Linked DNA regions of Oryctolagus cuniculus. The protein of the gene in region 4 purifies or fractionates together with the protein of the main gene of each other region. This does not show direct contact. Links are inferred from orthologs where the notes say so. Each region holds a gene or a part of one and is shown on either strand. Other genes may lie near its edges.

The links.
Region 1: the proteins of SNRPA1 (region 4) and U2SURP purify together in Homo sapiens (affinity purification with mass spectrometry; 5 studies listed by BioGRID and IntAct, with this or other methods). This does not show direct contact. The link is inferred for Oryctolagus cuniculus from reciprocal best matches to the Homo sapiens genes SNRPA1 and U2SURP.
Region 2: the proteins of SNRPA1 (region 4) and SRRM2 fractionate together in Homo sapiens (co-fractionation; 3 studies listed by BioGRID, with this or other methods). This does not show direct contact. The link is inferred for Oryctolagus cuniculus from reciprocal best matches to the Homo sapiens genes SNRPA1 and SRRM2.
Region 3: the proteins of SNRPA1 (region 4) and PRPF8 fractionate together in Homo sapiens (co-fractionation; 3 studies listed by BioGRID, with this or other methods). This does not show direct contact. The link is inferred for Oryctolagus cuniculus from reciprocal best matches to the Homo sapiens genes SNRPA1 and PRPF8.
Region 5: the proteins of SNRPA1 (region 4) and SF3B1 purify together in Homo sapiens (affinity purification with mass spectrometry; 8 studies listed by BioGRID and IntAct, counting the BioPlex papers as one, with this or other methods). This does not show direct contact. The link is inferred for Oryctolagus cuniculus from reciprocal best matches to the Homo sapiens genes SNRPA1 and SF3B1.
Region 6: the proteins of SNRPA1 (region 4) and CDC5L purify together in Homo sapiens (affinity purification with mass spectrometry; 5 studies listed by BioGRID and IntAct, counting the BioPlex papers as one, with this or other methods). This does not show direct contact. The link is inferred for Oryctolagus cuniculus from reciprocal best matches to the Homo sapiens genes SNRPA1 and CDC5L.
Region 7: the proteins of SNRPA1 (region 4) and SNRPD1 purify together in Homo sapiens (affinity purification with mass spectrometry; 4 studies listed by BioGRID and IntAct, counting the BioPlex papers as one, with this or other methods). This does not show direct contact. The link is inferred for Oryctolagus cuniculus from reciprocal best matches to the Homo sapiens genes SNRPA1 and SNRPD1.

What each region holds. Positions count from the first base shown.
Region 1 is NC_091435.1:138,826,060-138,830,188, forward strand, and holds part of U2SURP (U2 snRNP-associated SURP motif-containing protein), read right to left. Parts: intron 3,000-4,129; coding exon 2,955-2,999; intron 798-2,954; coding exon 666-797; intron 1-665.
Region 2 is NC_091450.1:32,566,194-32,571,035, forward strand, and holds the start of SRRM2 (serine/arginine repetitive matrix protein 2), read right to left. Parts: upstream 3,260-4,842; 5' UTR 3,042-3,259; intron 2,786-3,041; exon of another isoform or gene 2,378-2,785; intron 1-2,377. UniProt on the Homo sapiens protein: Required for pre-mRNA splicing as component of the spliceosome. As a component of the minor spliceosome, involved in the splicing of U12-type introns in pre-mRNAs.
Region 3 is NC_091448.1:47,179,975-47,184,103, forward strand, and holds part of PRPF8 (pre-mRNA-processing-splicing factor 8), read right to left. Parts: intron 3,509-4,129; coding exon 3,395-3,508; intron 3,317-3,394; coding exon 3,143-3,316; intron 2,860-3,142; coding exon 2,666-2,859; intron 162-2,665; coding exon 1-161. UniProt on the Homo sapiens protein: Plays a role in pre-mRNA splicing as core component of precatalytic, catalytic and postcatalytic spliceosomal complexes, both of the predominant U2-type spliceosome and the minor U12-type spliceosome.
Region 4 is NC_091443.1:10,486,503-10,490,631, reverse strand, and holds part of SNRPA1 (U2 small nuclear ribonucleoprotein A'), read left to right. Parts: intron 1-625; coding exon 626-704; intron 705-2,802; coding exon 2,803-2,849; intron 2,850-4,129. UniProt on the Homo sapiens protein: Involved in pre-mRNA splicing as component of the spliceosome. Associated with sn-RNP U2, where it contributes to the binding of stem loop IV of U2 snRNA.
Region 5 is NC_091434.1:42,863,607-42,867,599, reverse strand, and holds the end of SF3B1 (splicing factor 3B subunit 1), read right to left. Parts: intron 3,117-3,993; coding exon 2,958-3,116; 3' UTR 779-2,957; downstream 1-778. UniProt on the Homo sapiens protein: Component of the 17S U2 SnRNP complex of the spliceosome, a large ribonucleoprotein complex that removes introns from transcribed pre-mRNAs.
Region 6 is NC_091436.1:125,737,595-125,742,305, forward strand, and holds the start of CDC5L (cell division cycle 5-like protein), read right to left. Parts: upstream 3,042-4,711; 5' UTR 2,704-3,041; coding exon 2,659-2,703; intron 1-2,658.
Region 7 is NC_091441.1:56,034,661-56,038,724, forward strand, and holds the start of SNRPD1 (small nuclear ribonucleoprotein Sm D1), read right to left. Parts: upstream 2,801-4,064; 5' UTR 2,608-2,800; coding exon 2,594-2,607; intron 2,508-2,593; exon of another isoform or gene 2,334-2,507; intron 1-2,333. UniProt on the Homo sapiens protein: Plays a role in pre-mRNA splicing as a core component of the spliceosomal U1, U2, U4 and U5 small nuclear ribonucleoproteins (snRNPs), the building blocks of the spliceosome.

The DNA.
Region 1 (4,129 bases), on a different chromosome or scaffold from region 4:
CCGTTTATTCTACTTCATAAACTTAATCACAAGGAAAAAAAACTATTTAAAATAGAAAAAACACTAAAAGAACCAAGATTCTGGAGCAAAGAAACTCCTTTCCTCTGTTCCTCTATTGTCCAGGTAATTGTACCTACAGGATGAATAGTACTCTCTCACTCTTTGCTTCTCAGAGAAAGACAATAAGCGCTCAGAGAGCAAAGGACTGTGGCACAGCAGCTTAAGTGGCCACCTGAGATGCCATCTTCCCATGTGAGTGCTGGTTGGAGTCCGGCTGCTCCAATTCCGATCTAGCGCCCTAACATATCTGGGAAAGCAGCAGAAGCTGCCCCAAGTGGTTAGGCCTCTGCCACCGACATGAAAGACTCAGATGGAATTCCAGGCTCCTGGCTTCAGTCCGGCCCAGCTCCAGCCATTGCAGCCACTTGGAGAGTGAACCAGTGGATGCTAGACCTTTCTCTGCCTTTCAAAAAAAAACTGTGTTTAGACATCTGTGACTGGTAATTATTTACTTGGTTCATTAAAGTCCAAAGGGGGGGGGGGGGGGGGCAGGCAGAGATAAATCCAGTGAACTCATTTTACATCCAAAATGCTCCTATTTTTAAAATAAATTTAGACTTCAAGGACAAATTAAAATCATTAATTTTATCTTTACCAATACTCACTCTGGAGACATTCTGATGAGGAGAATCACAAAGGTTCTCACGAGTACTTTCATTCCTATAATTATGTTTTCTTGGGCTCTTAGGCCGTGTCCGACTTGGCATATCACTATCTGAGGGTCCAGATGCATCCATCTTCAAGAAATGTAAAAAAAAATTTTAAAGTCACATATAATACTGAAAACTAGAAATAATCCAAGTGTCCAAACACTGACAAAAATCTCATCATTCACCATCAAAAACCACATCCTTTAATGCAACCGTTGACTTCATCAGAAAAGTCCTTAAGGACACAGAAAGGTTTCAACAATTCTAACTTATACTTGAAAGCTCGCATTTATATTGGAAACAGTTCTTGGAGTAACATGTCCACATTCTTCATTTTCAATAAAATGCCTGCCACATTCTCAAGCCTGAATAAAATTTGTCAGATGTTCCTTCAAGCAAAAAAAGTATTTCATGAAAAAAGCAACTAGTTTCATTCTCAACTCAACAACTATACAAGTACTTTTCTTCAAGAAAAAAGCGCACATTAGTAAAAGTTATCTTGAAGGCCGGCACCGCGGCTCACTAGGCTAATCCTCCGCCTGCGGCGCCGGCACACCAGGTTCTAGTCCTGGTCGGGGTGCCGGATTCTGTCCCGGTTGTCCCTCTTCCAGGCCAGCTCTCTGCTGTGGCCCGGGAGTGCGGTGGAGGATGGCCCAAGTGCTTGGGCCCTGCACCCCATAGGAGACCAAGAGAAGCACCTGGCTACTGGCTTCGGTCAGTGCGGTGCGCCGACCGCTGCGGCCATTGGAGGGTGCACCAACAGAAAAGGAAGACCTTTCTCTCTGTCTCTCTCTCTCACTGTCCACTCTGCCTGTCAAAAAAAAAGTACTACTTGTTTCATCACAAAATATAAAAAGACCTGTCTGTACTCAAGTCAAGATTTCTTAATACTTTACTGCTTCACTAGGAACTTGCTAAGTGTAACTAGCATATTTTTACTATTCCTAGTATAGAAGATTATAATGACTACTAGTACTTTTTGGCATCACTGCCTTGATTCATACTGAAGTGTCAAAAGTTTACCCACCAACTGCTTTTGTACCATAGTATGACTGTCAACACAGTGAAAAAGGTAAATAATGCCTTAGTATTACCACAAAATAGTTTTGAACTCAAGACTCCCTGAAAGATTCTCAGTGATCTCCTGGAGGTCCACAGACCACACTCCAAATGTTGTTATAATATTGCAGTATTACTCAAGAGTCAAAAAGCTTTCAATAAAGTTATGCCCATTAACAGAAAAATAGCTTAATAAGTAAGTTTATGTTCCCACAGTGGAATAGTATGATGCCATTAGAAAGAACAGATTAGAGCTATGCCAGCTGACTTGTCAGGACATATAACAGGTATATCGTGCAGTGAAAAAGGGTCTATACTACACTTACACAGCGAATGTGTAAGTATATACATCTATGTGCATACAGAATTTTAAAACATAATTTATAAAAGGGAATATACATCGGCCAGCACCGCAGCTCAATAGGCTAATCCTCCGCCTTGCGGCGCCAGTACACCAGATTCTAGTCCTGGTCGGGGCGCCGGATTCTGTCCTGGTTGCCCCTCTTCCAGGCCAGCTCTCTGCTGTGGCCCAGGAGTACAGTGGAGGATGGCCCAAGTCCTTGGGCCCTGCACCTCATGGGAGACCAGGATAAGTACCCGGCTCCTGCCATCGGATCAGCGCGGTGCGCTGGCCGCAGCGGCCATTGGAGGGTGAATCAATGGCAAAGGAAGACCTTTCTCTCTGTCTCTCTCTCTCTCACTGTCCACTCTGCCTGTGAAGAAAAAAAAAAAGGAATATACATACTAAATGTCTAACTTTGAGAGGGCTGATTCACAAGTAGAGGTTCATAGCAAAAAAGATAAAAGAAAAAGATAAAACATAAAAGATTAAAATCATAGGCATGGGGTTAGAATTTGCTCTAACAGTTAAGATGCTACTTGGGACACAGACATTCATATTGGTTGGATTACCTGAGTTCAAGTTCCAGCTATGCTCCCAAGCAGCTGGGTCCCTGTTGCTCACGTGGGAAACCTGGACTGAGTTCCCAGTTTCAGCCCCCTACAGTGGCCAGTTACAGGCACAAGGGGAGTGAACCAGAGGATCGCTGTCTTTTTCCATTTCTCCTCTGTGTGTCTCTAATCTCTCAAATAAATAAGTCATTTTTTTAACTACAAGGATAATATATACCAATAAAAATCAAATTTTTAAAGAAAAAAAAGTCAAAGGCTGCCTTTTATACTCACATGTGCATCTGAAGATCCAGATGAGTGAACATCTGATGATCTGGTCTGAAAGTATTAAAGTAATATTAATGTTAGCGGGGTATATCTAAGGCATAATTACCTTTTTACGGTATAGAATGGAAATTCAGTATTTTTATAAATTTTTGTGCAAAAGCTTTTCCCAAGTCATGAAACACAGTTTACTGTCAGGACACTGCTGGAGGAGAAATTTCTTGGGAGACAACAAGAACAAAAAAATGCCCTCCCTTTTTCCAACCATCCAAAGCCACAATTAAGAAGCAGACTCTAGGGGCCAGTATTGTGCACAGTGGGTTTAGCCACCGACTGCAGGGCCAGCATCCAATAGGCAATTTTATTGCCTAACATTTAAGCACTCCACAATGTAGCCTGAATGTACAATTCTCCACTTCTGATTCAGCTGTTAATGCAGCTGGGAAAGTAGTGGAAGTTGGTTCAAGTGCTTGGGTTCCCTGCCACCCATATGGGAGTACAGGAAGAGAAGCTCCTGGCTCCTAGCTTTGGCCTGGCCTAGCCTCAGCAGTTGTGGCCAACTGGAGAGTGAACCAGCAGATGGAAGATTTCACTGTCTCTCTCTGCAACTATTTCAAATATATAAATGAATCTTCAGAAATAAAATAAAAATCAAAGCAGTCAGTTCAAAGCTAGCACTTTTGTCAGCTTTGCAAATAACATGATTTGATGAATTTACAAATAGGGCAATAACGTCATAGCTTGGAATCAGCTGATTTCAATCAACCTAAGATGTCATTAGTCACAGTCATCACAAACCATTTTCCATTGATAGGTGGCTACAACTACACAGCATTCAGAAAGGAACTCTGTTAGGTTTAAGAACAATTAAAGAGATGCAAATAGCAGGTATTAAGACCTACAAGTAACAACCAACTTCTACAGCTAGTTGTCACGTAAACAGCAAATGTCCACACTATAGAAGCTGGGCCTCTCTTTTAAAGGTTTATTTATTTATTTATTTGAAAGGCAGAGTTACAGAAAGAGAAATCTTCCTCCCACTTGTTCGTTCCCCAAATGGCTTCAACAGCCATGCTGGGTCTTCCACATCAGTGCAGGGCCCAAGGACTTGGGCCATCTTTCACAGCTTTCCCAGGCACATTAGCAGGGAGCTGCATCAGAAGTGGAGCAGCTGGGACTCAAGC
Region 2 (4,842 bases), on a different chromosome or scaffold from region 4:
CATCCAAAGCCTCGTGAACCTGCCTAAGGATTTCAGACTACCCCGTATGAATACAAGATGGAATAAACAACCCCTAGGTAACCGAAAAGGGGGCTAGTTAGTTAAATCCAAAGTGGTAGGTACAGCCTCACACTCAGACTAACAGCTAGCATGCACATAAGAAACAAATACGAACTTTGGATACATCATCTTACTCCACTTCACCTCCCAGGGAAAGAGCCATTTTCTTGATTCCAAATATTTATAGCTCCCATCAACTATCTTCTTAGTTTACTTCTTCAATTTCCTTCCTGATAGTATTTACCACATGCTTTGCAGCTCCTCCAAGGCTCACTAGCTCCTGTTACATGTTATGTCTTTAACTCAATGCTCTATTTAAACACATCAGCGTCTTTTATTTCTACTGTCTCCATAATTTCTCTAGATTCCTTGTTCTGAACTTAAAAAATCTTCTCGCTCCATATCTCACTTTTATTAAAGCCCAACTGCTGGCTTTCCCTATCCAATCTCCTGTACTGAACTTCTGTTTTCTCTCGCAAGCCCTTCTCATGTGCTAACAACCCCACACCTCTCACCACATTCCATTCTCTCAACTTATCTAAACCCCAGCACGACTGAAGAACCCACAAGTCCCAGTTTTTCCAGTTAACAGTTCTTGGCTATACATACTCTGATTCTTTCTCCTGCAATACAAGGGTACTTCCAAATGTTCACAAAAAATAAAATTAAAACTTAGGGACATATTTTTGACACCTGCATCCCGTATGGGAATGCCTAGTTCCAGTCTCAGCAATTCCTGTTTCCAGTTCCAGCTCCCTGCTAATGCGCACCCTGGAGCCAGCAGGTGATGGCTCAAGCACTTGGGTCCCTGAAACCCATCCGGGAGGCTTGGATTTAGTTTCATGCCCATGGCTTTGGCCTGGCCCTGCCCCAGCTGTTGCTGTCCTTTGGGGAACAAACCAGCAAATGCAACATCTGTCTGTCAGGAAGCTCTGTCTCTCAAGTAGTTTTTTGAAAACTTTTGCGCAAAACAATTGAAATCCATGCAAGTTTTTCATCATCTATGTTTTCCATGAACTTCTGCAGACCTCTCAAACACAAAGCTTCCCCAACCCATTCTCTCCAAGATAGTGGGAAAACTAACCTCAGGAAAAACCCTAGAAAAAGGCAACATGGAGAAGTTAATCAACGCGGAGGGAAATGAGAGGCACTGCATGGAAGGCTGCATTTAGAAAACTCTGAAATAAAGAAGCAGAACACAAATGCCTACAGAAACCCAAGACGCTGTATGGGAAGGAAGCCCAGCAGCCTGCACACCGCGCAGCCACAGACCAGGTCCCTTCCCAAAGGCAGCAGTCCTACGAACCGAAAGCAAAAAAAGATGACAAAACCAGAGTCAACGGATGACACGAGGCTCAATCTATGAAAGGCAAGGAGACACGCAGAACAGAACAGTGATCTACTTCTCTGCAGCCCAAGAAAGCAACCCTCGCGTTCACCTTCCAGCACCAATTCGCCCCACTCTAAAAGCCCCTCTTTGCACCTGCACAGCCCACTGAATTTTTGCTTCCCTTGCAGAATGCTTCTGACCTGCAACTAATTCCTCAGCCTCAGAAAAGCACCCACACTTCTCTGCCACCTCACACAAAAACCCTCCCACTCCCTAAGGAGGGAAAACCAGTAGCTGCTAAGCCAAAGATACTGTCACATTGTTCGAAAGATGTAGAGAATCAACAATAAAAAAAGAAAAAGAAAGAAAGAAAGAAAACCTCCACGGCATCCAAAGCAGAGCTATAGACACTTCAGTGAGGAGGAACCATGTCAACGCAAACCACTAAAACCGATAAAATAATTATTCTTAAAATGAGGTCCACAGAGGGCTTACAAAGTTACTTTGCCAAGGAAGACTAAGAGAACTACCTGTGCTGGACAGTGATCAGAACGCCAAAACAATGAGATCAGAGAGTATCGCACAATATTCAGACATTCAGTTAAAAAATGGACCGAACTGCGGGAGGCGGCAGAGAAGCAGAAGCAGAAGCAGCTCCACGCCGGCGCACTGCAGTGCCTGGGGACACGCGAGGGAACCCAGAAAGCTCGGCAGCCGACGGAGCCCATCGTCCGAAGAGCGAAGCCGACAGAACCGACAGCTGGGATGTGCGAGCCGCAATCACAGCGAGAGCAGGCGGACACGGAGGCCGCCCAGAGTCGTGTGCCACGGGGGGGCCTGAAACGCGCAGCCGCAACTCCAAACAGTCCGGCATTTTCCTCCCAACCACGGGCTCCAAAAGCAGCCTCCGTAGTTTTAACGCAACTTCTGGGGAAATGTGGAAAAGCCACAAGGGAAAAAAACAAACCAACCCACCACGTTGTCTACCTTACTCACGTAGACTCAATTTTTTTCCTTCTCCCTTTCCTTTCCACGCTCTGCGGCTTTTTTCTCCCCTACCGACCGCAGGGCTGATACTAGCGAGTCCAAACGCTCTAAATCCGGGCCACCGAGGTCAAGGCCCTCCCCGCGCCGCCGGGGCCAGGAAGGCCTATTTTCGGCCCGGAGGGATGGGGGAGGGGGCTGCGCGGCGCCCCGCAGTCTGGAAGGCTCCACACCGGTCCACCGGGCCCCGGGCGCGACCGGAACGAGCCACAGGGGACACGGTCCGAGAGCGGGCTCCCGTCGCCGCCGCCGAAAGGGGCAGCCGCAGCCAAGAGGCCGGCTCGGCCGCCCATGTGGGGGGAGCCGAGGAGCCGAGCGGCGCGCGCTCCCCGGTCGCCGAGGACGCGCGCGAACCCGAGCGCGGGCGGCGGCGCGCGCCGTTGCTATGGGGGAGGGGCGGGGAGAGGCGCGCCGGAGCCCGCGCGCGACGGGCACCGCGCGAGGGGGAGGGGAGCCCAGCGAGCCAGGGCGTCCGCGCGAGCTGAGGGCGGCGAGCGCGCGCGCGCGTGCGCGTGCGGCGGCCGGGGCCGTTCTCCGCGCGCCGCGGCCTCGCGCCGCGGCCGCCGCCCCTCCCCCACCCGGCTCGCGCGCTCCCTCGCCCTCTCACCCGCCGCCGCCGCCGCCTCCGCCCGCCGCCTCCGAGGGGGAGAGGTCTTGCCGCTGCCCGAGCGCCCGAGTCCCTCGGGGCCTGGAGCCGCCGCCTCGCCGCGCCTCGCCGGTCCGCCCGCCTCACCCGACGCCGACGCCTCCTCGCTTCCTCAGGGGCCGCAGCGGGCTCCGACTGCGCCACTCGCACCCCGCCTGGGCCGCGCTGCACGTCAGCACGACCGACCAAGTGCGTCAGCACGCCGCCGCGCCGCAGGGCCCGCTGGGAACCGTAGTACGCTCTGCGACCTTGTGCGCAGGCGCCGGGCTCGCTTCGGGAAGTAGAGTTTCTAGAGGCGTAAGAGAGAGTCAGTTTCATTGCCGGGAGACTACGAGTCCCGTCGGCCAACGCGAGTAAGGGGTGGGAGCAGGACCGAAATGACAGTCTCCGAGGCTCACCGCCCGGGCGGGGGCGGGGCACAAGGCCTGGCGACGTCTTAGCGCCTCTCGGCCTCCCGCCTTCGGCCAGAGCTTTCTGGAAGTTGTAGTTCAGGCATGCGGCGGGACCCGTATGTAGCTTCGTCCAGGGGCGCGGTCGCCATTTTGTTTCCTCAGGTTGGGAGCCGAGCGCGGGAGCCTTGTGAGGGTTGCTGCCTCCAGGTGACCGTAGCCTCCCGGGCGAGCCCGCGGCCCCACAGCACGTAGCCTTTCGTGCTCAGACCCCAGATATCGGGTACGCCTGGCGCCCCCGAGCCCGACACAAGGTCCAGGCCGGGAAGCAAAGGCCGAACACCCACCGCGTTGGGTTCTGGCGGCCCTCACCCGCCGTGAGCAGCTGCGGCGTTTGAGGTGCCCTGAGGAAGAGTTTTCTGGAACCAGAGGGCACCAGCCAGGAAGGCGGTTGTTTGATACAGAACCCAGATGTATCATACCTCGTGGAAACGCCCTTAATCATTCACTGTGCCATTGCCGGGTCCTTTTTACAGGTCCATCTTTGCGGCCGTCGTGGCGTGGCGGGTAACCCGTGCCGGCGGCTCCACTTTCCATCAGCCCCTGCCGGTGGGCCTGGGAAAGCAGCCGCGGCGGGTGCGCCCCTGCACCCACGCTGGAGACCCAGATGAGGCTCCTGGCTCCGGCCTGGGCCGCGGGCAGTGACCCAGCAGACGGAAAGCTGGCGTTCTCTCTAACTGCCTTTCAAGTAAAAAAAAAAAAAAAAAAAAAAAAGTCCATTTTTCTGAGCCCGAGAATCGGCAAGCCCCCTCAGAGCAGAGCTGTAAGGCTGGGCTTTTCGGGCTCGGGTTTACCTCTGGCCGGGCCAAGGGACAGTGACCTTGGACTGGTCATCTCCGGAAGCCCAGCCGCTAATGGCATGAAGCGCCATTACGCATCTGCCGCCCCTCTGTGTGTGAGGAATTTTCTTGAAAAAAAGATTTGAGTTCCAGAGGAAGAGTCGGAGGTCTTCCATCCCCTAATCCCCAAGTGACCGCAATGGCCAGGCCAAAGCACGGAGCCAGGAACTCCCTCTGGGTCTCCAACGTGAGCGGCCGGGGCTGAGTGCTTGGGCCACTTTCTGTTGCTTTTCCAGGCACATCAGCAGGGAGCTGGATGGGACGCAGAGCAGTGCGACTGGAACTGGTTCTCTGGGATGATGGCAGTGCGGCCAGCAGCTCAACGCCTGCGCCACATGCCAGCTCGGAATTTTGAATTTTTAACTTAGCCCGCAAGGGAAATCAGCGCTAGGACCACACAGGGAGAGTCCGGGCTTGCTGATGTGAGCCCTAGCGCCGCACGCCAGCGCCCTGGAGCACCACTTGAACTCCTCC
Region 3 (4,129 bases), on a different chromosome or scaffold from region 4:
GCTTGTTGACCGTGCGAGTCTGCGTTGCAGTCAGCTGTGACTGCTCCTTAGTCTGCTTCTCAATCTCCGCTATCTGCTGCCGCTGCTGGGACGGAGCGGAGATCTCCATCCCCAGGATGATGTCGCGAATTTCGGACTGCGTCAGCGATGCCACGTTCACACTGTGGGGACAGCGTGCGTTAACAAGGATCCCTGCTTCAACGGCAAGAGTGTCAACTGGGCACAACACGGAGGTGCCTGTTTTCATCCCAGACTCCTCAAGTGCCCCTTCGAGAGGAGGCCTGAGATGGAGATGCACTCCTCCTTCTATGTCACATCCCAAGTAGAACTGCGCCCTGCAAGTGTACCTTTCAGCACTCAGCACCCAGAACCCCACTTTTCCTCAGCACCCCTGAAACACTGGTTCTTCCCCAGAGGTGGTAATACCAGTCACCCTCGGGAACACTGGAGATCTACAGACATTTTTGATACGTCACAATGACAAGGAGAGGTGGGACAGGTATGTGCTATCAGTGATGGTACTCAAGGTCTGGAAGTTAGAATCTCCTGTAGTTTATTACAATAAAGATGAGCCCTCCTCAGAATGGCAGGATTTCCTCCACTGAGAAACAATGGCCAACAGGATGACTTAGGGTCGGAAGCAAAGTTACAGAACTTAATTATTCTCCCATCTTTAATTCTGACTTGTGCTGGGATTGTCACTCCTCTTTACTCAGTTTCCCATATGTAAAAGAGGGAGATTACACTTATAATCCAAAAGATTCCAAGGCTGGAAAGTGGAATTGTAAATAAGAACATTAGATAAACCCTGAGAAAAATTGTTTCTTAATTCTAATTATTCCAGTTCGTCTAGTCTCTGTTCTACAAAACATACCAGTTTCTGCTTCACAACAGGGGAGTTAATATACCACATCTTTCAATCCTATGGAAACTATTAAGAAGGAACACCAGGGGCCGGTAAAGCTACTGCCTGCAGTGCTGGCATCCCATATGGGCGCCAGTTTGAGTCCCAGCTCCCTGCTATGGCCTGGGAAAGCAATATTAGATGGCCCAAGTCCTTGGGCCCCTGCACCTGCATGGGAGACCCGCAAGAAGCTCCTGGCTTTGGATCGGCCCACTTCTGGTCTTTGTAGCCATCTGGGGAGTGAACCAATGAATGGAAGACCTTTCTCTCTGCCTCTCCTTCTCTCTCTGTGTAACTTGGACTTTGAAATAAATAAATAAATCTTAAAAAAAAAAGTTAACTGACTGCTACATCAGATAATTTCTTTTCTTTCCAATACCAGTCAGAAAGGAGTCATGAATATACTATAAAGTGATCCATATATTTTTTAAAAGATTTATTTGAAAAGCAAAGTCACAGAGAGACAGAGAAGAGAGAGAGAGATCTTCCATCCACTAGTTCACTCCCCAAATGGCCACAACAGCCATAGCTGGGCTGATCTGAAGCCAGGAGCCAGGAGTTCCTTCCAGGTCCCCCATGCAGGTGCAGGGGCCCGAGGACTTGGGCCATCTTCCACTGCTTTCCCAGAGAGCAGAGAGCTGGAGTGGAAGCAGAGCAGCCAGGACTTGAACCAGCACATATGGGAGGCCAGTGCTACAGACAGCAGCTTTACCCACTATATCACACCACTAGCCCCAATCCATTTTTTTTAGCACGGCACATGCAATTTGTAGCAAGAACCAAAAAATGTATTTATTACTCTTTGAGCCACAAATTATACTGCTGGGAAGTGAATAAGCGGAGATTTAGTATATTGTGAAAAAGAAAGGGGTTGGGGCAGGCATCTGGTGCCACAGTTAAGGTGCTGCCTGGGAGGTGTGCATTCCATACTGAAATGCCTGAGTTTGAGTCCATGCTCCACTTGCAATTCTGGTTCCTGCTAATGTGCACTCTGGGAGACCAGGGTGATTACTCAAGTAGTTGGTCCCTGCTATCCATGGGGGAGACCTGATTGAGCTTCTGGCTTCAGCCTGGCCCAGCCCAGGCTGTTGAGGGTATTTGGGTGGGGAGTTAACCAGCAAGTGGATGATATGTGTATGTGTGTGTGTGTGAGTGTGTGTGTGTGCCTCTCTTTCTGTAACTTGGACTTTCAAAAAAAAATTGCAATCATCAAAAAAAAAAAAAAAAAAAAAAAAAAAGCAAAAACCATGTGGTTATACACTGTTAAAAAGAATTCAAAAGCGGCATGAATACCTGGTTTACATGATGTGGTGTTTGAGTGCAAAGCTTTTCTGGGTAGTCTTTGAAATAGTAAAAATGTTGCTAGGATCAACTCATCATCAACATTTGCTCTCATTTTTGTTATGGCCTGTAAAGGTGACTTGAATTGTCATTGCCTATGTGCTTCTTTCTGATGTCCCAAAGGAAATTTTTTCTCTGATAAACATTATGAATTTGCTAATTCCATAACTGAATTGAAATCATAAAAGATCCAGTTACTCCAAAAACACAACACAACAGCCACAATCAGAGCGAAGCCCTGAGACATGCAGACTTCCTGTACTATTTGAAGACACTGCTTGCTTCTCCTCTGTGAGTATCTCTAAGACAATTTCTTGAGAAACTTATGAGCCAAGTGTTCCAAAGCCACAGAACCCCAATACTGAGCCCCCCACTTCAGCTTTGTGGACACCCATTGGCCTCCCCATCACAATGGCTCACTTGTTCTTCTTGCCGTAGTCAGCCAGGATGAGATCCTTGAGCTGCACCTCCACCTTGATCCACTCCTCATCAGTCAGAGTGGGCCAGATGTGGTGCGGCTCTGTAATTGTAGTCTTATCTGGCTTCAGGATCACCTTCGCCCGGTCATTGTTCACATGCAGAGCACGCAGAATCAGGATGAGACGGGAGAAAGCCTGGGAAGAAATTCAGAAGAGTGTTTGCGAGTGGGCGGGGACGGCGGAGGTCCGCTAACTGAGGTTCTCCCCTTTTCTCAATGTCTCCATCCTGTGCTTGCAGGAAACCCAAGAACTGACTTCAAACTCTAAAGTTCCAAGCCCTCGTAAGGCAGCAGAGTTCCTGCTCCATCCACAGACTGAAACTATGAGAATGGCCCAAATCAGCGGCCTGTGAGGAAACTATCAGGCAGAGAATACTTTCCTGACCACAAACCCACTCGCAACGTGGCCGTCTTCCTACCGTGTAAGATGAGATAGTCTTGAGCCAGTCATCATAGAGGTTGAAGAGAACCATCTGCGGCTCAGTGGCTTTAAGGATGAGATCCCCAAACTTCTCCACCTTGAGACAAGCCTGGAAGGGGAGCTGCAGCTCTGATCCTTTGATCACAATATTGGGGAAGTCCAGCAAGTGCACCTACGACCAGATCAAGACAAGATCAGAAACGATCTTCAGCCTCAGGCCTGCCTTTGTCTACCCTGTCCACCCTTTTACCTCCAACGGGTCCAGCATGCCTTTCCTGGTGACAATGATCTGCTTGGGCTGCTCCTCCACAGGCAGAGATCGGATCAGGGCAGCCACTTCCTCAGCAGTCTTCCACTTAGCCAACTGAAAACCAAGAGAAAGGCAGTGGAAATTGAGTCTGCAGCCTCCCGATCAACTAGAACAGAAAGCCCTACTCTTGAAATCAAGTATGTCTGGACGTTAATGTTGAATGCTAAGCTCTTAGAAGATAAACTGTCAAAAGGCCTTGTCCAAAGGGGGTTTTCAAGCTATACAAGATACTACTCAAAACCAGTATATGATCATGCTAAGCAATATGACACAGTTCAGGAATGAAAGAAGTTAAGGCTACTAGAGTCATAAAAAGCTGTACAAAGAAATGAGTCTTAATGCGTAAGAATGACAAACAGGGCTAGTGTTCTGGCCTAACAGCATAAGCCATTGCCTACAATGCCAGCTTCCCATATGGGCATGGTTCAAGTCCCAGCTGCTCCATTTCCAATCCAGCTTCCTGCTAATGAGTTTTGGAAACCGCGGGGAAGATGGCAGCATCTTTGGGCCCCTGCACCCACGTGGGAGACCTGGATGTAGCTTTTGGCTTCTGCCTGGCCCAGGCCCTGGCTGTTGTGGTCATATAAGAGAACCAACAGATAAAGATCTCTTTCTCTCTTCCCTTCTCTCTCTGTAACTCTGACTTTCAAATAAAATAAATCTTTGGGAAAAAAA
Region 4 (4,129 bases):
TAATTGTGTTTTTATCACATGTCTACCTCCTGCCTTCTGCTTTACTTTTCTTCAGTTAAACTGGTTTCTAGAAGATTTGCTGAAATTGGGATCGTTTTAGCCCTTAAGCTCTGTGTAAATTTTATTGGAAAAAATTTATTGGCTACTTGTAGAGAATGTCAGTAAGAGTACTAGTGGTGGGGTGCTTGGCACCGGGTTAAGGCACTGCTTGGGACACACACACCCCGTATCAGGATGCCTGAATTCAAGTCCTGCTCCACTTCCAGTCCAGCCTCCTGCTATTGGGTTAGCCATTTCCTGGTGGGGTGGTTGTATGTCTTGTACCTGCACTGTGAATGCAGAAGCACTTGGGTTTCTGTGCCACCTGCTCACAGAAGTAGTGAAGTGAGCTGAGGCCCTACCCGGGGGTCTCACCTTTTCTCAGGTTCCGCTAGCCGGTGTGGCAGCAGAAAGGGTCCCAGGCAGAGTCCAGGGAGCTGCCTGAATTGTCCCCTCTTCGGTCGCCTCTCCCACAGTGGTAGCTGGGGTAGGGCAAGAGGGGTCTCGGAGCTTCTGCAGTCAGACCCTGTGATCAGGGGTGTGTGTAGAGTTGTTCACTTTACTAAGAGTGTGTCTGTCTGTTTAGCCGTATAGGTGAGGGGCTTGATCAGGCTCTGCCCTGTCTCACAGAACTCATTCTCACCAACAACAGCCTTATGGAACTGGTAAGTTGTATCTTGGGGAGGGGTTTAAGGGCTGCATACTTCTTAGAGAACATTTGCGAAGTCTAGAATATTTCTCCTTATCCTCCTTTGCTTAATTAATTCAGTGCCTGGGCCTTTCTGGGTGTCAGTGTTGCAGGGGTCTTTCCTCGCCCTGGCTTCCCTTTGATTCTGTTAGGGCGCCCTGACAGACGTGCCTAAAGCAAGTGTAGGCCAATTTATGACCTTTTTTCTGTATTGCTAGTGCTTTTGATGTCCAGGGAGGCTTCTCTTACCCTCCCTGGGTTGTAGAGGAGCCTGTATCATTTTCTGGAACTGTAGTCCCAGTGTGGTGGCGCTGACCAGGTGGCCTCTGCGTGGAGGTGTGCTGGAACGTGGCCTGCACACCGGGCCTCAAGGACGTGGAAACCAAGAGAGCAGGAGAGAGAGAATGCGGACATGGTGATTTCCGCCTGTTTTATGTTTTCAAAACTTACTCCGTGTGCTTCACTTTTACATAATTGAACTGATACCATATATGTTCTCGTTGTAACCTAAATTTCCCACTTGAACACTGGATGTCTGAGTCCATGTTGTCTAACTTGATTTGCGGTTATCCTGCCTTTGCCTCCCTTGCCTGTCTCCTGGAGTGGAATGGACTGTGTGTGCCTTTGCTGGTGCGTGGCGGGCCCATCACATCCTGGACATTCTCTCTAGAGTACGTGACCCCGCAGTGAGAATGCAGCGCCCATATGGGATGCCTGCACTGCAGGCAGCGGCTTTACCCGCTGTCCACAGTGCTGGCCTACTTGTGTGTGTTTTTAGCCCATCAGTCCCTAGTCATTCTGTTTCATATGATGTGTGTGTGTGTTAGAGAGAGACATGAAAGTTGCCACTCTTACGTCATTGCTTCCTGGGTCTGTTTCAGTGGGTTGCCAGTCCGAGCTGGAGAGCTGTCTGATGGTGTCTGTGACGTGCTTCCTGCCAGGCTGCGCTCTGAAATCTGCTCTGTTCCCCTCCCTCTTGCATCCGTACCTTGTTCCTCATTCTCTCGTGCCCGGTTTGCTCGGCTCGGATCTCCTCCTGCAGTTTCTCCTCAGGAGAGCGCTGTCCTGCAGGCACCCAGCATCTGGCTGGTCCAGACCCTGTGCTCACGCGCCGCGCAGGTCTCGCAGGGACCCAGCATCTGGCTGGTCCAGACCCTGTGCTCACGCGCCGCGCAGGTCTCGCAGGGACCCAGCATCTGGCTGGTCCAGACCCTGTGCTCACGCGCCGCGCAGGTCTCGCAGGGACCCAGCATCTGGCTGGTCCAGACCCTGTGCTCACGGGGCCGCGGGTCTTGCAGCTGCTGCTGTGAAGCTGAGTGCCTGTGGGCTGTCCTGGAGCGATCAAGTTCACGGCCGCCCCCTCCTCACCTTCTCTGCTGCTTCCTGCGCAAATGTGGTCGCCACGCAGGCCTTGTAGCTCGCGGTGCTGCTGCCCCTCACTCCTGTGTTAGGGTTCTTGGAGAACTATCTGTCATCTGGGTTGCTTGTAGGTATGGACCATAGGGGTTTTTGTTTTGCTGTCCTTACGGTACTGCGTTATGAGACAGTTTGGGAAGATCTAAAAACTGCCCTGCCTTCTGCCCATAATTTGGTCCTGTTTCCCCAGCTGTACAGCTTCGTGTCCTTGGAAATTCTTTGAAGAGCTTGGTGGGGGCAGGGGGTACTGCGGAGGTGAAAGGCGCTCCTCCACAGTGATAGGCCTGTGTGGGTCCCAGGCGTCTGGAGGCGCTAGAAGACAGATGGCTGTACTACCCTGTGCGAATCTCTTGCTCAGGGTTACCTCACCTTTGGCGGTTTCTCTCCTGAGTCATTGGAGTTTGCTGTAGGAAATCACCTTTCATGGCCTCTTCTGCCGTGGAGACAGAGCTGTTGATGCTGGATTTAAAGGAAGAAGCTCAGATGTACTCGGCGTATTCTGTAGGAGTTACTGAAGTGCCTGTGACGTCCTGGTTTTGGGTCAGGACTAGTGCAGTAGCAGTCTGAAAGACGATGCGGCTGCTCGCTCTGCCTGCCCTGCCCACGGCAGAACACTGGGAGCATGCGTGCTGTCCTTACCTTTGCTCTCCACCCCACAGGGTGACCTGGACCCCTTGGCCTCCCTCAGATCGCTGACGTACCTAAGGTATGGGAAGGATGTTTTTTAATTCATTCTATTATTTATTAAAATGTCATATTAAATTGGTAGTATCATAGGGGTATTTTTTAAAATTTATTTCACAGCACTTGATTAATTCAAAGAAATAATTTAGAATGGAATGACAGTTACACTAATCAAGAGATGTTACATTTGATATATTTTCTTTTAAATACTTTAAAAATTTTAACTGATACAAAAAATTGTACATATTTCTGGGGTGCTGTGTAATGTTTTTATATACATATACATTGTATAATGCTCAAATCAGAGCAAACACTTCGATATACTCAAACATCTATTATTTCTTTATGGTGAAAACATCCAAAAAATTTGTCCTCTCAACCTAAGAAAAAGATAGTGCATTAGTAGTATTATCTACAGCCACCCTGATGCAGTAATAGAATACCTGACTTTTTGTACTGTGTAACTATAACATAGTACTTGGGGTTTTTTTGTTTTTGTTTTTAAATATTTGTTTATTTGAAAGGGAGGGAGAGAGAGAGGTCTTCTATCTTCTGGTTTACTCCTCAAATGGCCATAACAGCCAGGGCTGGGCCAGGTCAAAGCCAGGAGCTTCATCCTGGTCTGCCACATATGTGCAAGGGCCCAAGCACTTGGGCTGTCTTCTGCTGCTTTCCCAGATGCATCAGCAGCAAGCTGGATCAGAAATGGAGCACCCTGGGACCCAGCGCCGTGGCATACCAGGTAAAGCCGCCATCTGTAGTGCCGGCATCCCATATGGGTGCCAGTTCGTATCCTGCCTGCTGCACTTTGGATCCAGCTTTCTGCTGTGGCCTGGGAAAGCAGTGAAAGATGACGCAAGACCTTGGGCCCCTGCACCCGTGTAGGAGACCCGGAAGAAGCTCCTGGCTCCTGGCTTTGGATTGGCTCAGGTCCAGCCATTGTAGCCATTTGAGGAGTGAACCAGAGTATGGAAGAGATCTCTCTCTCTGTCTCTCTCTCTCTCTCTCTGCCTCTCCTTCTCTCTCTCTCTCTGTAACTCTTTCAAATAAATAAATAAATCTTTAAAAAATAGAAATGGCGCATCCGGGAACCGGTGCCCATATGGGATGCCAGTGCCGCAGGCTGTGATTTACCGGCTGGCCCAGTGTGGTGTTGTCCATCAGCTTCTCCCCAGCCCTCCTTCACTGCCACCATCCCAGTCCCTGGCAGCCCTCATTCTGCGCTCAGCTTCTTTGAGACTGACTTGATCTTTAGATGATGTGTGAGGTCTCCTAATTGTCTTTTGTGCTTGGCTTATTTCT
Region 5 (3,993 bases), on a different chromosome or scaffold from region 4:
TTCCATACCGAATGGCCCCTGTGCTGCTGATCTGTAGGTGAGCCTAGACATGGAGACCAGCATTCCTGCCTCTGAGCCGCTCATCTGGCTCCAACCGTGTAACAAGATGTCTTGAAGACCTGAGGGATCATCTTCCACATTTCCACAGCCTGCTTTCCCCAGGATGTATGAGTAGTTTTACCCAAGGTAACTGTTTTAAGTATTTGGTAGTTACATAGTTACTTCCAAGGAAACTGGTTCCTAAATATTGCCTTACCTATCCTTTCATTTGATCAGGCATGTAAGTCCCACTTAAACAGTGTTCTGAGTTTGCTCAGTGGTTCTCAACCTAAAGAGCTTTCCCTCCAAGGCACATGAGAACACACCTGTAGGCATTTGGCGTCATCAGAACTTGGGCTAGGGGGCAGGGGTGCTACTGGCATCTGCTGAGTGGAGGTCTGGGACACCACTCAACACTGTGCCATGTACAGGGCAGTTCCCAACAAAATTCTGGCCCAAAATGTCAAGGATGCCAAAGTTAAGAAAACCCAGCCCAGTTGTAATTTTGCCTCTTTTGCTTGGAGGGATTAAGAGCTGCTAGGAACCAAAGAGCCAAACAACTGAACCTATTTGGCTACATCTTTTTCTCAGTTTATTTTATAAAGAAAAAGTTTCCTTGGATTTCAGCATTAGGTTCTCTTGTTTGGAAAACAACCCCCAAAGAGCTCAGCTCAACCACAACAGAGTGTAGTATGACAGCAATAGAGTCAACTAAGATTACAAATTGGTCTACTAAGACTTTAGATATAACAACTTTTTATTCATCTGGTGGGTACTTGATGCTCACAGGGCACCGTACAACAAATTTAAAAAATACAATATGAAAAAAAATCAAACAGCCAGAGATTAATTCCATAAGAGGGCAATGGCCCACAGAAAAAAAGACAACAAAAGCCCACAGAAAACCCACCCTCTGTCCCCTTAAGAACATTAATATCTTCCTGCTTAAGTTTGGCTTAAGCAAACACCAAAACAAAGTGCAAAAGAAAGTCTTTGAGAAGATAGCTAAACTTCACGTAGCATCTTTCAAGTAATTATTTCACAAAATGCTTTCCTTATACAATACTAAGCACATAAAATAATCCAAACATCTGTGAGCCTCTATTTGGTCCCAATTTTTAGTTCAGAGCCTTCAGCATTTCCCTCTTCTTATCCTCACATGATTTGCTTCAGTGAAGTCACATAAAGGTATCACAGTCTGCTTTGTTCCACACTGCCACAACAAAGCATGTTTTCCATAAACTGCAAGGAGCCAAGCAACCTGACAATGTGTTTTAAGTAGTTAAAAGAAAATATAACTGATTTTTCTCAAAAATGACTTAATATCTAATTTTGGATTTAAAATAATTACAATAATTATGTCAGTATTTAATGTCATTTGACATCAACTATACAGAATAAGATGATTTAAAGTTGCATGGAGGGAACCACTACAAAATCTCCAAGAATACAAAGATGGTTTCAGAATTTCTGCTTAAATTAGTTGAAAATTTGTTAGGAAACTCAACTAATGCTCAATTATTAATTTTGCAAAAGTAAGCCAATTATAAGCTATTTCTCATCCAAAACTTCTAAAAGCTCTGTGTTAACAGGAGGCACAAACCTATGGTAGCAGAGTAATCACACACTAAAAGTGCTTGCACAATCTCTTTTCTCCTTAGAATTCACAGAAGGACTAAGAGAGACACAAAACAAAACAGCTTGGGTAGTAAAAGGTCTAAAACTAAGAAATCTGGGCTATATAATTAAGTTGAAAATATACTTAACACAATTGCCAAAAAAAAAAACCCAGTAAGTACTGCTTCAATGCTTGGTTCCTCTAAAATTAAATGGCAATTTAATTTATGCTGTACATTTAGGTAGATCAATTTATCATTTAATTACTAAATACAAATGAGGCAAACCCAGACATTTTAGCTGCTGCCACTCCATAACATGGTATACAGAGAACCTGTAATGAGATGTGACTACTCTTTTCAATTACACTTTACCAGGACTTGAGGGCAAAGGGCAGGTCACAGGTATCTTTACAGCCTCTAGAGTTAAAGCACAGTGGCAGGAATATGGAAGGGGCTCAAAAGTTATTACTGAATACATTGTGGCTGCTTGTGACATGGGAAAAAAGCCAAGATTGTCTTACTCTATTAGCATTACTTAGTTACTAGCCTCACTCCCAATACACAAAGCAATTCTCAAGTAAAGATCACACCCTCCCCACTTTCTAAACAGAGCTCTCAAGAACTGGACATTACCCAAGTCACTTCCTTTAACCATGCTTGAAAAGCATTTTGCAAAATCAAGAGATGAAAGGTGCTATGTAAGTACAAAATATTACTTGAGACAGTTCAGCAAAGGTGCTATTTTTCTAAAGTGATGGAATGGTTTTGAGTTTGGGGGGATCATCCCCAAAGCTACTCTTCTTGCTGTCATCACCAACAGAACAACAGAATCTTGACAAAGATGCCATCACTTTATTTAATTTGTATTCTGCTAATTTCTATAAACCAGGTGACAGTAAGCCATTTATTCTGCACAAACCAATGCTTTTATCAAAGTTCTGCATTTTACAAGTCATGTTCAAAAAACACACACAAATTAGCTTTTGTACACAAATGTTTATTTCTCAATTAAACATTCCCTTTAAACACAAGGAATGAATTCTAAATCTTCATAAAGATGAATTAAAAATGAAATCCCTCCAGTATAGTACGCGTAATTACTGTGTTCTTGGTCACTACTGGCATTTACTGTTTAACATCAAAAACAAAGACAGGTTATTTAAAAATCATGCTACTGGATTTCTAGCTCTTCTTCTATGACCAGTTCTATACTGATCTGCAATGTTTAAAAGTTTATATCACCAAATTGAAGCAAGTTTAAGGTGTGAAACAGTTGTGCATTAAACACAAAATAAACAATTATAAGATATAGTCAAGTTCATAACGAATGTAAGTGTTCTTATCATCATTGTAGATTCTTGGGTAATGTGCTATGAGAGCATCTTGTGAACCAATGTAGATGGAGTTGTAAATTTTCCAATACACATCTCTGACTTTCCGGGCTGGGTGAAACAGACCCTAGAACAATGGAAAGGTGGCATGTCAGAATTTTCAAGAACATATGTAAACTTAACACAATTAATAAATCATAAAAGCTGTGATTCAAAACATTTCCTTTGGGGGTGGCAAGAGCCTGCAATTAAAATTACAATGGGCAGGGCTGGTGCTGTGGCGCAGCAAGTGCTGGCATCCCATATTGGCACTGGTTTGAGTTCTGGCTGCTCTACTTCTGATCCAGCTCTCTACTATGGCCTGGGAAAGCAGGAGAAGATGGCCCACATCCTTTGGCCCCTGCACCCGCGTGGGAGACTCAGAGGAAGCTCTTGGCCCCTAGCTTCAGAACGGTGTAGCTCTGGCTTTTGTGGTCATCTGGGGAGTGAACCAGCAGATGGAAGACCTCTCTCTCTGCCTAACTGCCCTTCAAATGAACAATCTTTAAAAAAAAAAAAAAAAATTACAGTAGGTAGACTTGCCATTATACACATCCCATATTGGTTCTAGTCCCTGCTATTCCACTTCCAGTCCGGCTTCCTGCTAACAGGCCTGAGAAAGCAGCAGAAAATGGCCCAAGTGCTTGGGCCCTTAGACCCATGTGGCAGACCAGAAGCAGCTCATGGTTACTGGCTTCTTCCCGATTCAGCCCCAGCTGTTGCAGCCAGCTTAGGAGTGAACCAGTGGCAGGAAGACCTCTCTCTCTCCCTTTTTTTTTCCCCTAAAAGATTTTATTTATTTATTTATTTGAGAGGCAGAGTTACAGAGAGAGACAGAGAAAGGCCTTCCATTTACTGGTTCACTCTCAAATGGTCACAACAGCCAAGGCTGGGCTAATCCAAAGCCAGGAGCCAGGAGCTTCTTCTGGGTCTTCCATGCGGGTAACAGGAGCCCAAATATTTGG
Region 6 (4,711 bases), on a different chromosome or scaffold from region 4:
GCTGTTCCACTTCCAATCCAGCTTCTTGTTAATGAGCCTGGGAAAGCAGTGGATGAAGGCTCAAGTACCTGGGTCTCTGCCATCCAAGTGGGAGATCTGGATGGAGTTCTTAGCTCTTGGCTTCATCATGATCCAGCCCTGGCTGTTATGATCATTTCAAGAATGAACCAGTGAATGGAAGATCTCTGTCACTCCACTTTTCAGACATAAGTGGCCAGCATTGTGGTATAGCAGATTAAGCCTCTATTTGCAATGCTGGAATCTTGTATCTTGGAGCATCAGTTCAGGTCCCACCTGCTCCACTTCTAATCCAGCACCCTGCTAAATGTGCCTCAGAAGGCAGTGCAAGACAGCCCCAGTGCTTGGGCCCCTGCCACCCACATGGGAGACCTAGATGGAGTTCCTGGCTCCTGGCCTAGCGTGAACCAGCAAATGGAAGATCTCTTCTCCCTGCCACCTCCCTACCCCCATCGCTCTTTCAAACAAATAAAAAATAAATCTTTTAAAAAAATAAATATTTCAAATGTACTTAAGAAATAAGAATTTTTAAACACACAAAAAACCTCACTGACCATAATGATAAACAGTAAGCAACCAGCAAAATGCAAGAAATTAAGAAATTCCTTAGGACATCTTACTGTTCCTTATAAACACACACCCAATTGTGTGTGGGAACAACCACCTCTGAGCAACCCTACTTTCGGACAGAGATTAACAAAAAGTATTCTCCAATATGTGGCTGTCATTCTTCAAGCAGGCACAGCTCATTCATTTACACCTTCACTCAGAAAACACTTCCTGAACACTTGCCTTGCACCAGGTCTTGTATACTTGGGGAGAGAATCGAATAGGACACATCCAGGCCTCAAAAAGCAAGTTGGGACTCAGATGAAACCACTCTCCAATTCACACTTCCTGCCTCCAGTTCAAGCACGGCCTTTCCTCCCCAGCCCCATCCGCCCCACCACGACCCAAGAATCCACATCTCAGATTAGACCATATCTCAGTTCTAACCTGAGATTCAAATATTTCTCTCCACAACCCCTCCCAAGTCATCTCTCTCCAGTCTCCCCCAGACTCTAGATACTATTTCACCAGGGCTGCCACCCAAACACGGAATGTACCAATCCCAGAGCAGCCTGGCAAGCCAAGCCACTGGCGCGGAGGACGATGGAGCCAGATGTGAATGCACTTGAGACATTTCACTTGCAGGCTCTGTTCCACAGCCAACTGTAGAAATCTGTCAGCAGATTTGACCGTAGCACAGGAATCCTGCTACTACTTGATTTTTTCACGGGTCTCTCCCTCACAAGTCAACTCCTCTCCATTCAAACAGCCTAGTTCCCTCAGCACAAGGGAGGGGACTTGCACTGCCTTCATCTGTCACGTGGTGCTGCACCTCTAATACTTAGATCACAGCTACGTCCCGCGTACCCGCCGAGATGCATTCCACAAACATCTGCCAAGCAACCTACTACTTCACGCTGGTTACTCTCCTGTGCTCCAGGAAGAGCAGGACCTGTTCCCCTCCCCTCCCCCAGTGCTGTCTGGAGAGGTAAGAGGTGCCTAGCACTGGCTGAAAGGCTACTGTGTTCCCGACTGTTCCAAATGTCCCAAATGTGGCAGCTCACTTAATCCCCACAGAAACATGAGGAATCTAAGGCTTGGAGAAATGGAGAAACCTGCCAGCATCACTCCCAAGGATGTGACACTGGCAAAAGTCAAAGCAAGCCGACAACAAGTGGATGACAGGCACCGTGGGCCCACAGGGGGGTGCTACCAACGCTCACAGGCTGAACAGGCGAAGATTTGGCCGCCAAGGGCTTCTGAACCAGGTCAGGAGGATGCCAAGCGGGTCGAGGATACCGCAAGGAGGCACAGAGGTAATAAAAGACACGAGATAAGCCGTGCTCAGAAACTGATCGATCCAGGGCACTCGACACGAAACGCACTCAAATCTCATTTCTGTCTTGCTCCCTTTCTACTGCTCTCCGGCTCTCAGATGGCACGATCCACTACGACACTACCCGCAGCAGTCTGTCCTATCTGGCTTCAAGCCATGCCAAGGCGGAGAGACGGGAAGCTAAGAGAGAGACAGGCCTTGGCATCTGTCGGGAGAGCGCGCACAGGCTGTGCCTGGCTGACGGATAAACCGACGGATGCAGGAGAAACGGGCGCCGAGAACTCGGTATGCAAGCTGCTTCCCCTCTCTGCAAGAAGTCAGCGAAGAAACAAAGTTGTGGCTGCACCAAGTTCTTTAGTTTTGGGGTGCCAGAGACAGCCGCGAGCTGAGGGGGGGTAGCGTCCCGGAAGATCACCTCTCCTGGATGTCCCACCCCTCCTGCCACCCAGTGGGGACCTCGGGGAAAGGGGGCCGGGGCGGCGCGGCCTCGACTCAACAAATGTTCGCTAAGGGCCTAACAAGTGCCTGACGGTGAGCTCGGAGCCGAGCCGCCGGTCCTTGGGGCGCTCCCGTCACCCCTGGCGGGGAACAGCGCTGAGGCGCCGAGGGTCGTCGGCCCTGGCGCTGCGCGGCCCGGCCCACCCCACGCAGACCCCGCAGGGCATCCTCGTCCGCTCCCCGGCCCCCGCGCGCGCGCGTGCGCACAAGCTGCCGGAGGGGGCGGAGGGCAGCGGACGGCGGGAAAAGAGACTCACCTCGGTATTTCTCCACACGCCGCCCTTGATCATAATTCGAGGCATCTTGGCGACAGGTGGTCTCGGCAAGCGGCCGAGAGGAGCTTCAGAAAAGTAGTAACGGCGCTCCGGTCACGGGACCCAAAGCCGCCACTTCCTCCAAGCGCGACCTTCTGCTTTGAAGAGATCTGCGCAGGCGCAAGGAGGTGGCGGGGGGGGCGGTGGCAGAATAGCAAGTCTCGCGATATCTCGGGAGGCTGAAAGGTTAGAAGTGCTTTCTCAAAGCTCTAGTGTACAGACTGACAGAAAACCATCAAACTGCTGTGGCCGTAGCGCCGTGCGCCGCGCGCATGTCCAAGTCAGGCTGGAGGAAGCCATGGCTCTCGCGAGACATCCGCAGCGGCGGCCGGCCCGGCGTCGCGGTGGGGTTGGTCATCGTGACGTCACTCGGCGGTGGGGGTGCAGACGGGTTGTGTGTGGCCTTGCAGAGTAGCCGGTCCGGAGAAAGCGTCGCGAACTAGCGCTTTATTGAGCGTTTCGCTAGTCGAGTACGCAGGAGGAAGAGAACAGCTTATCTGCGGCTCAGTTTCCCAACCTGTAATACAGAGTAGTAATAATAGCCCCCACCCAGTGGGGTTCTGCTAAGAAGTGAGGTCCTCAGCGGAGTGCAGGGTCTGACAGACGACTGTTCCCAAAAAGCGCCGCTGCGATTCCAAGGAGGGCAGCGCCTCCACCTGCCCCCGGGGAGGGGCGCAGCGGCTGTCCCGGAAGCCCCCACCGATGTCCCCTCAGCGTCTTTCATCCATCGCCATTCAGTCTGTGTGAATTAATAACAAAGACCATTATGGGCGCTGGTATTAAGGGAGCCGGACTCGAGTTGGGCCGGAATCTTGGCTGTCTCGTCAGCGTGGGTAATACCCGTGCTGAATCTCAGAGTGCTCGTCTGAAAAGTGGAGCCAGCAACACCGGCTTCAGCAATCGGAGGGGCAGGATTAGCTGTGACAAACCAAAACCTAACCTTGGATAAGGGTTGTCCAGCTCTCCGCCACCCCACTTCCGAGTTACTCAGACATCTTTCCCATTTCAGAACATCGCTTTGACGCCAGTCCTAGGAAATATGAAAATATTTAGTTAATGGATGAGGAAAGTCCTGGGTCTTTATATAGTGCCTTGCTCTTTAGGTTTTTTCATTTCTCCATTTGCGTCTTCTGGAAAAACTACAGAATGTTCTGATAATTTTTTTATCTTGAAATGGGAACTTTTTAGGTGTTTTTAATAATGCTGATGTCATTTGTTGGCATAAAAATTATTCAGATACAACAGGATATTTTTAAGATTTTTTTTAAATTTATTTTTTGAGAGGTAGCTTTACAGACAGAGAGGGCAAGAGAGGTCTTCCATCCACTGGTTCACTCCCCAAATGGCTGCAATGGTGGGAGCTGGGCCGATCAGAAAGCAGGAGCCAGGAGCTTCTTCCGGGTCTTCCACGCGGGTGCAGGGACCCATCTTCTATTGCTTTCCCAGGCCATAGCAGAGAGCTGGACTGGAAGAGGAGCAGCAGGGACAAGAACCAGAGCCCATATGTGATGCTGGCACCACAGGCAGAGGCTTAGCCTACTATGCCACAGCACCAGCCCCACAATGTAGTGTCTTTAGAATGACTATACTTTATATTCTGTGTATTTAGTCAAATATTTTTCTCATAACTCCCAATGTGTACTTGATCTCCCTATGTGTTCAGCAACTAATGACAGCACTGCTGTTTTCCAAGCCCTTTCTTGCAAACAGTATTCAGATCTAACAGAACACGTCCAGGAACCATGTAGGGAAGGCCAGTGTGGGCCGCCCTGCTGTGCTGTGATCTTTGTGGGTTTGCTCAACCCAGTGACCTGAACAAATTCCACTCCTGGCAGTTCAGGTCTTGGATTGCAGCGAGTGACTTGCAACATCACTGGGCCAGGCAGAGGACGGATCTTTTGCAGCCATTTTAGACTGTCTTGTGAGTGTTGCGGATGCTGTCCCTGGACCAGCGAGGTAATGGGGGGGGGGGGGGGCGTGTAGAATGGACCAGGTG
Region 7 (4,064 bases), on a different chromosome or scaffold from region 4:
CCAGCAGACGCTCTGGGCTCCTGGCTTCAGCCTGACCCAGCCCTAGCTGTTGTGGTCAGTTGGGAAGTGAACCAGCGAATGAAGATCTCGCTCTCTTTCAAATAAATAAAAAATAAATCTTAAAAATATATATACATACGTATATGACAAAGGACTGGTATCCAGGATATACAGAATTGTAACAACCCAGTAATAAAAAGAAACCATCAAAATAAACAACAGATTCAAACATAACATCACAACAGATGTGCAAATAGCTAATAAGCATTAGTCATTAGAAAAATACAAACTAAAACTTAAGGAAACACTACCATATACCCACTAAAATCCATAAAATTAAGCAGATTGACAACAACAAATGCTGGTGAGGAAGTGGAGCAATTGGAAGTCTAACATATTGCTATTAGAAGTTTAAAATGGTACAAGCACTTTGAAAAATGGTAGGGCATTTCTTATGAAGTTAAACATATCCTTACCCTATGTAGAATTCTGCATGTCTGCTCCTAAGTATACCCTATGTAGGATTCTGCATGTCTACTCCTAAGTATTTACCCAAGAAAAATCAAAGCTATGTATACAGAGATTTGCATAAGGATGTTCAAAACAGCTTTAAACAAAACATATCATTTTAAAACATACAATTGGACTACTATCCTACAATTAAATTTTTTTTTTTAAATACTGGGGGTGGGCGGCACTCAGCAGGTTAACCCTTTACTTGGGACAGCTTCCTATATTCCGTAACAGAGTGCAGGTTGTTGTACCAGCTGCTCTACTTCTGATCCAGCTCTCTGCTAATGCACCTAGGAAAACAACCCAAGATGGCCAGAGTGTTTGGGGCCCCTGTCACCCACGTGTGAGACCCAGACAGAATCCCTGGCTCCTGGTTTCAGTTGGCCCAGCCTGGGCTGTTGTGGCACTTAGAAAGCGAATCAGCAGTTGGGAGGCACTTCTCTGTGTTGCTCTGCCTTGTTTTAAATAAACAAATCTTTAAAGTAACAAAAAGCAAAACTAAATGTTGATGAATCTCAGGAGCATGCTAAGAAATCTTAAGCAAACATAAAAAAGACATATAGTCTTTTTTTATTCCAAAGAATAAATTCTACTGCAGGCAAAACTACAGTGGAAGAAACACATTGCTTTGGTGGATGTGGAGCTAAAAGTTGACTTGAGATAGCTTAAGGGAACTTCTTGAGGTTTTGGTATTTTACCATGGCAGGGGTTTGGGTTACACTAGTGTATAATTTTTCCACTCTCAGGAAATACACACTGAACTTCACTTAAGAAAGTGAAGTTTGTCTCCCTGGTTTTGGCTAGGGTGACAGGATAAGGATGATAATGCCACCAACTGAGATGCAGAAATAAATACAATGAGCATACACAAACTAATTAGTCAAACCATTTTCTTGAGGCAAGACACAAGAGGGTTTGTATCTACCTAGTACCTAAGACACAGAACGGGATTCAGCACACTCGTTAAAAATTACAGGGAAATTCTGCTAGAACATGTGCTATTTTCAAATGAGACAAACTGAATCTTCAGTGACAAAAAAAAAAAAAAAAAAAAAAAAAAAAAATTCATTAAGATTCAAACGAGCAGGTATGGAGAAATATAAAAATACACTGAGTTCTGAGACTGTTATACAAAGTTATAATTCAAATAAGAATGAACATTCACATTAAATGTCTTCTCTACAAACTCCACCCATAAAGTATAACTGTATTTCAAACATACTAGATGTTAACCACTTATCTGTCTTCAGCACTAAACAAAAAGTTCCAAGGCAGGGATTCTTGCCTTTAAGAAAATTCTATTATCGGCACACAGTAACTGTAACAGGTGCCCCATAACTGGTCAGCACTGCCAGTCTCGACTTGGGAGGAAAGAAACTCGTCAAATACTTCCAACCGCTAGCTTAGTACCAGAAACCACCGCTGGGCTGCAGGCTCAGCCTCCATGTAAAGCACCAAAATCTAACCTATCTGCAAGCAGTTTGGAACTAATTACAAACATCAATAAACAATCCTTTAGTAGGCTCAACTAAGCAACACAATCGCAGAAAGGAAACCGGAGGAATTACCAGCTATGTGTAACCAGCCACAATCAAAAAGTATTGGCTTTTGCCTCATAGTGGGAGATTTTTCTGATCAAAAGTCTAGGGAGCATCGAGAGAGACCAAAAACTTTAAAATCACAACTTGCAAACTAGTTCCTCTCTGATCTAAAACATGCTGCAAGTAGGCTTCCTTATTTCCATGATAAACTCCGTCTTCAGACCCACGGGAGCTCCATGCGCACAATGAGAATGGGTAACTAACGCGAGACCAAGCCACCTTCAAGGCCCCCAAGGCAGCAGGTGACAAGACGCAGCTCGGTCTTCAAGCCCGCCTCTTGGAAGACAGGCGAGGCTGAAGAACGATCGATCACGACCCGGAGCCGCGGCCAAGATGGGGCGCGCGCGGCGGGCGCCGCAGGCCGTTAGCAGGCCGCGCGCACGCGGCTTTCCCGCCTCCGGCCTCGGGACCGCTCAGCTTCCCGAGCCCGGCCCGAACCCTTACGGCTCAGCCCCCGCCTCGCTCGGCCACCTCCTCACCTCACGAGCTTCATCGTAGCGGCGCAATCGTCCTTTCTGCTCGATAACGCAGAGAATGCAACTACCGAGGACCGGCTAGGCGTATGAATGGCCGGAAACGCCTACTCCACGGGCTCCGGACGTAGCGAGCGCGCGGAGCACTGTGGACGTGCGGCGGAAACGCCGAGGCCTTGCTGGGCCACTTTGCCTTCCGGCCAAGGGGAGCGCGACTGCGACCCCTCGCTGCCGGAGGTATGCATTGCAGAGGCTGAGGGCGTGACTGTCTGTCTAAGGAGAGGGCGATTTGAACAGTTAAATCCAATTAGCAGTCGCCATCACGCTTCGGCACGGCGGGGCGCGTTGGCGAAGCACCAAATACAACTTCCTCCGTGAACAAAGAGCGGTTTTGAGAGAAACACAGGTTATTGCGAATTCTGGTCCAACACCAAGAACCTTATTTAGCATTACTGATGAATCTGAAGAAAATTGCAGAATTATGTTTCCGAGACACAGTTGTCTGTTTTCCTCGTACTCAACGTCTCAGTAACATTCAACACACTTCAGTTTTGAAATACCTTCTACCTTTGTTTCCCGGGCCAAGCACTCTGGGTTTCTCCCTAACCCACTAGCTGTTCTGTCTAGGCCTCTGAGTCTTTACACGTGTCAGGATGCTTCAGGGCTTACAGCTGTAGTCCTTTTTAGGAAAACTTTCTCCTTTAGCCTGGGCGATCTCCTCCAAAACTATGGTTTTAATTTGTAAATCTAGATTGAACTTCATCCATGATCACCAGAACTCTAGGATGTTGTAAGGCAATGCTCATCAAACTTTAATGTGCACAGGACAGACCCAAGGAATTTTTTAAATAAAGATTTATTTATTTTGAAAATCAGAGTTAACAGAGAAAGAGGGAGAGTCAGAGATCTTCCAACCATACGTTTTTCCCCAAGTGGCTGCAGCAGCCAAGGCAGAGCCAGGCTGAAGCCAGGAGCCCAGAGCTTCCTCCAGGTCTCCTACAAGGGTGCAGAGGCCCAAGCACTTAGGCCCTCTTCCGCTGCTTTCCCAGGTGCCTTAGCAGGGAGCTGGATCAGAAGTGGAGCAAGCCGGGACTTGAACTGGCACCCATGTGGGATGCTGGTGTTGTAGAGGCGGCTTTACCCGCTATGTCGCACCACCAGCCCCATTGAGGAAATTTGAAGATGAAAATTCTGGTTCAGTTGTTGTAGGGCCTGAAATTCTGCATTTCCAGAAGCCTTCAGTTGAAGATTTCCCTAGTCCATGGATCACAACTTGAGTAGCAAAGCTATGAGGCATATTTGTGAGCAGTCCTCACAACCTCTTCTACTCCCCTTTCTTCTCGAGAGTTCTCAGTATTCTTCTGGAGACGCACGTGGTCCTCAGGAAGCTGACTCTACCCTTTATGTCAATGATCAGGTTCCTTTACTTGTCCACATTAGGACTGATCCGACCAGACCTTTGCATAGAATGTTCTTC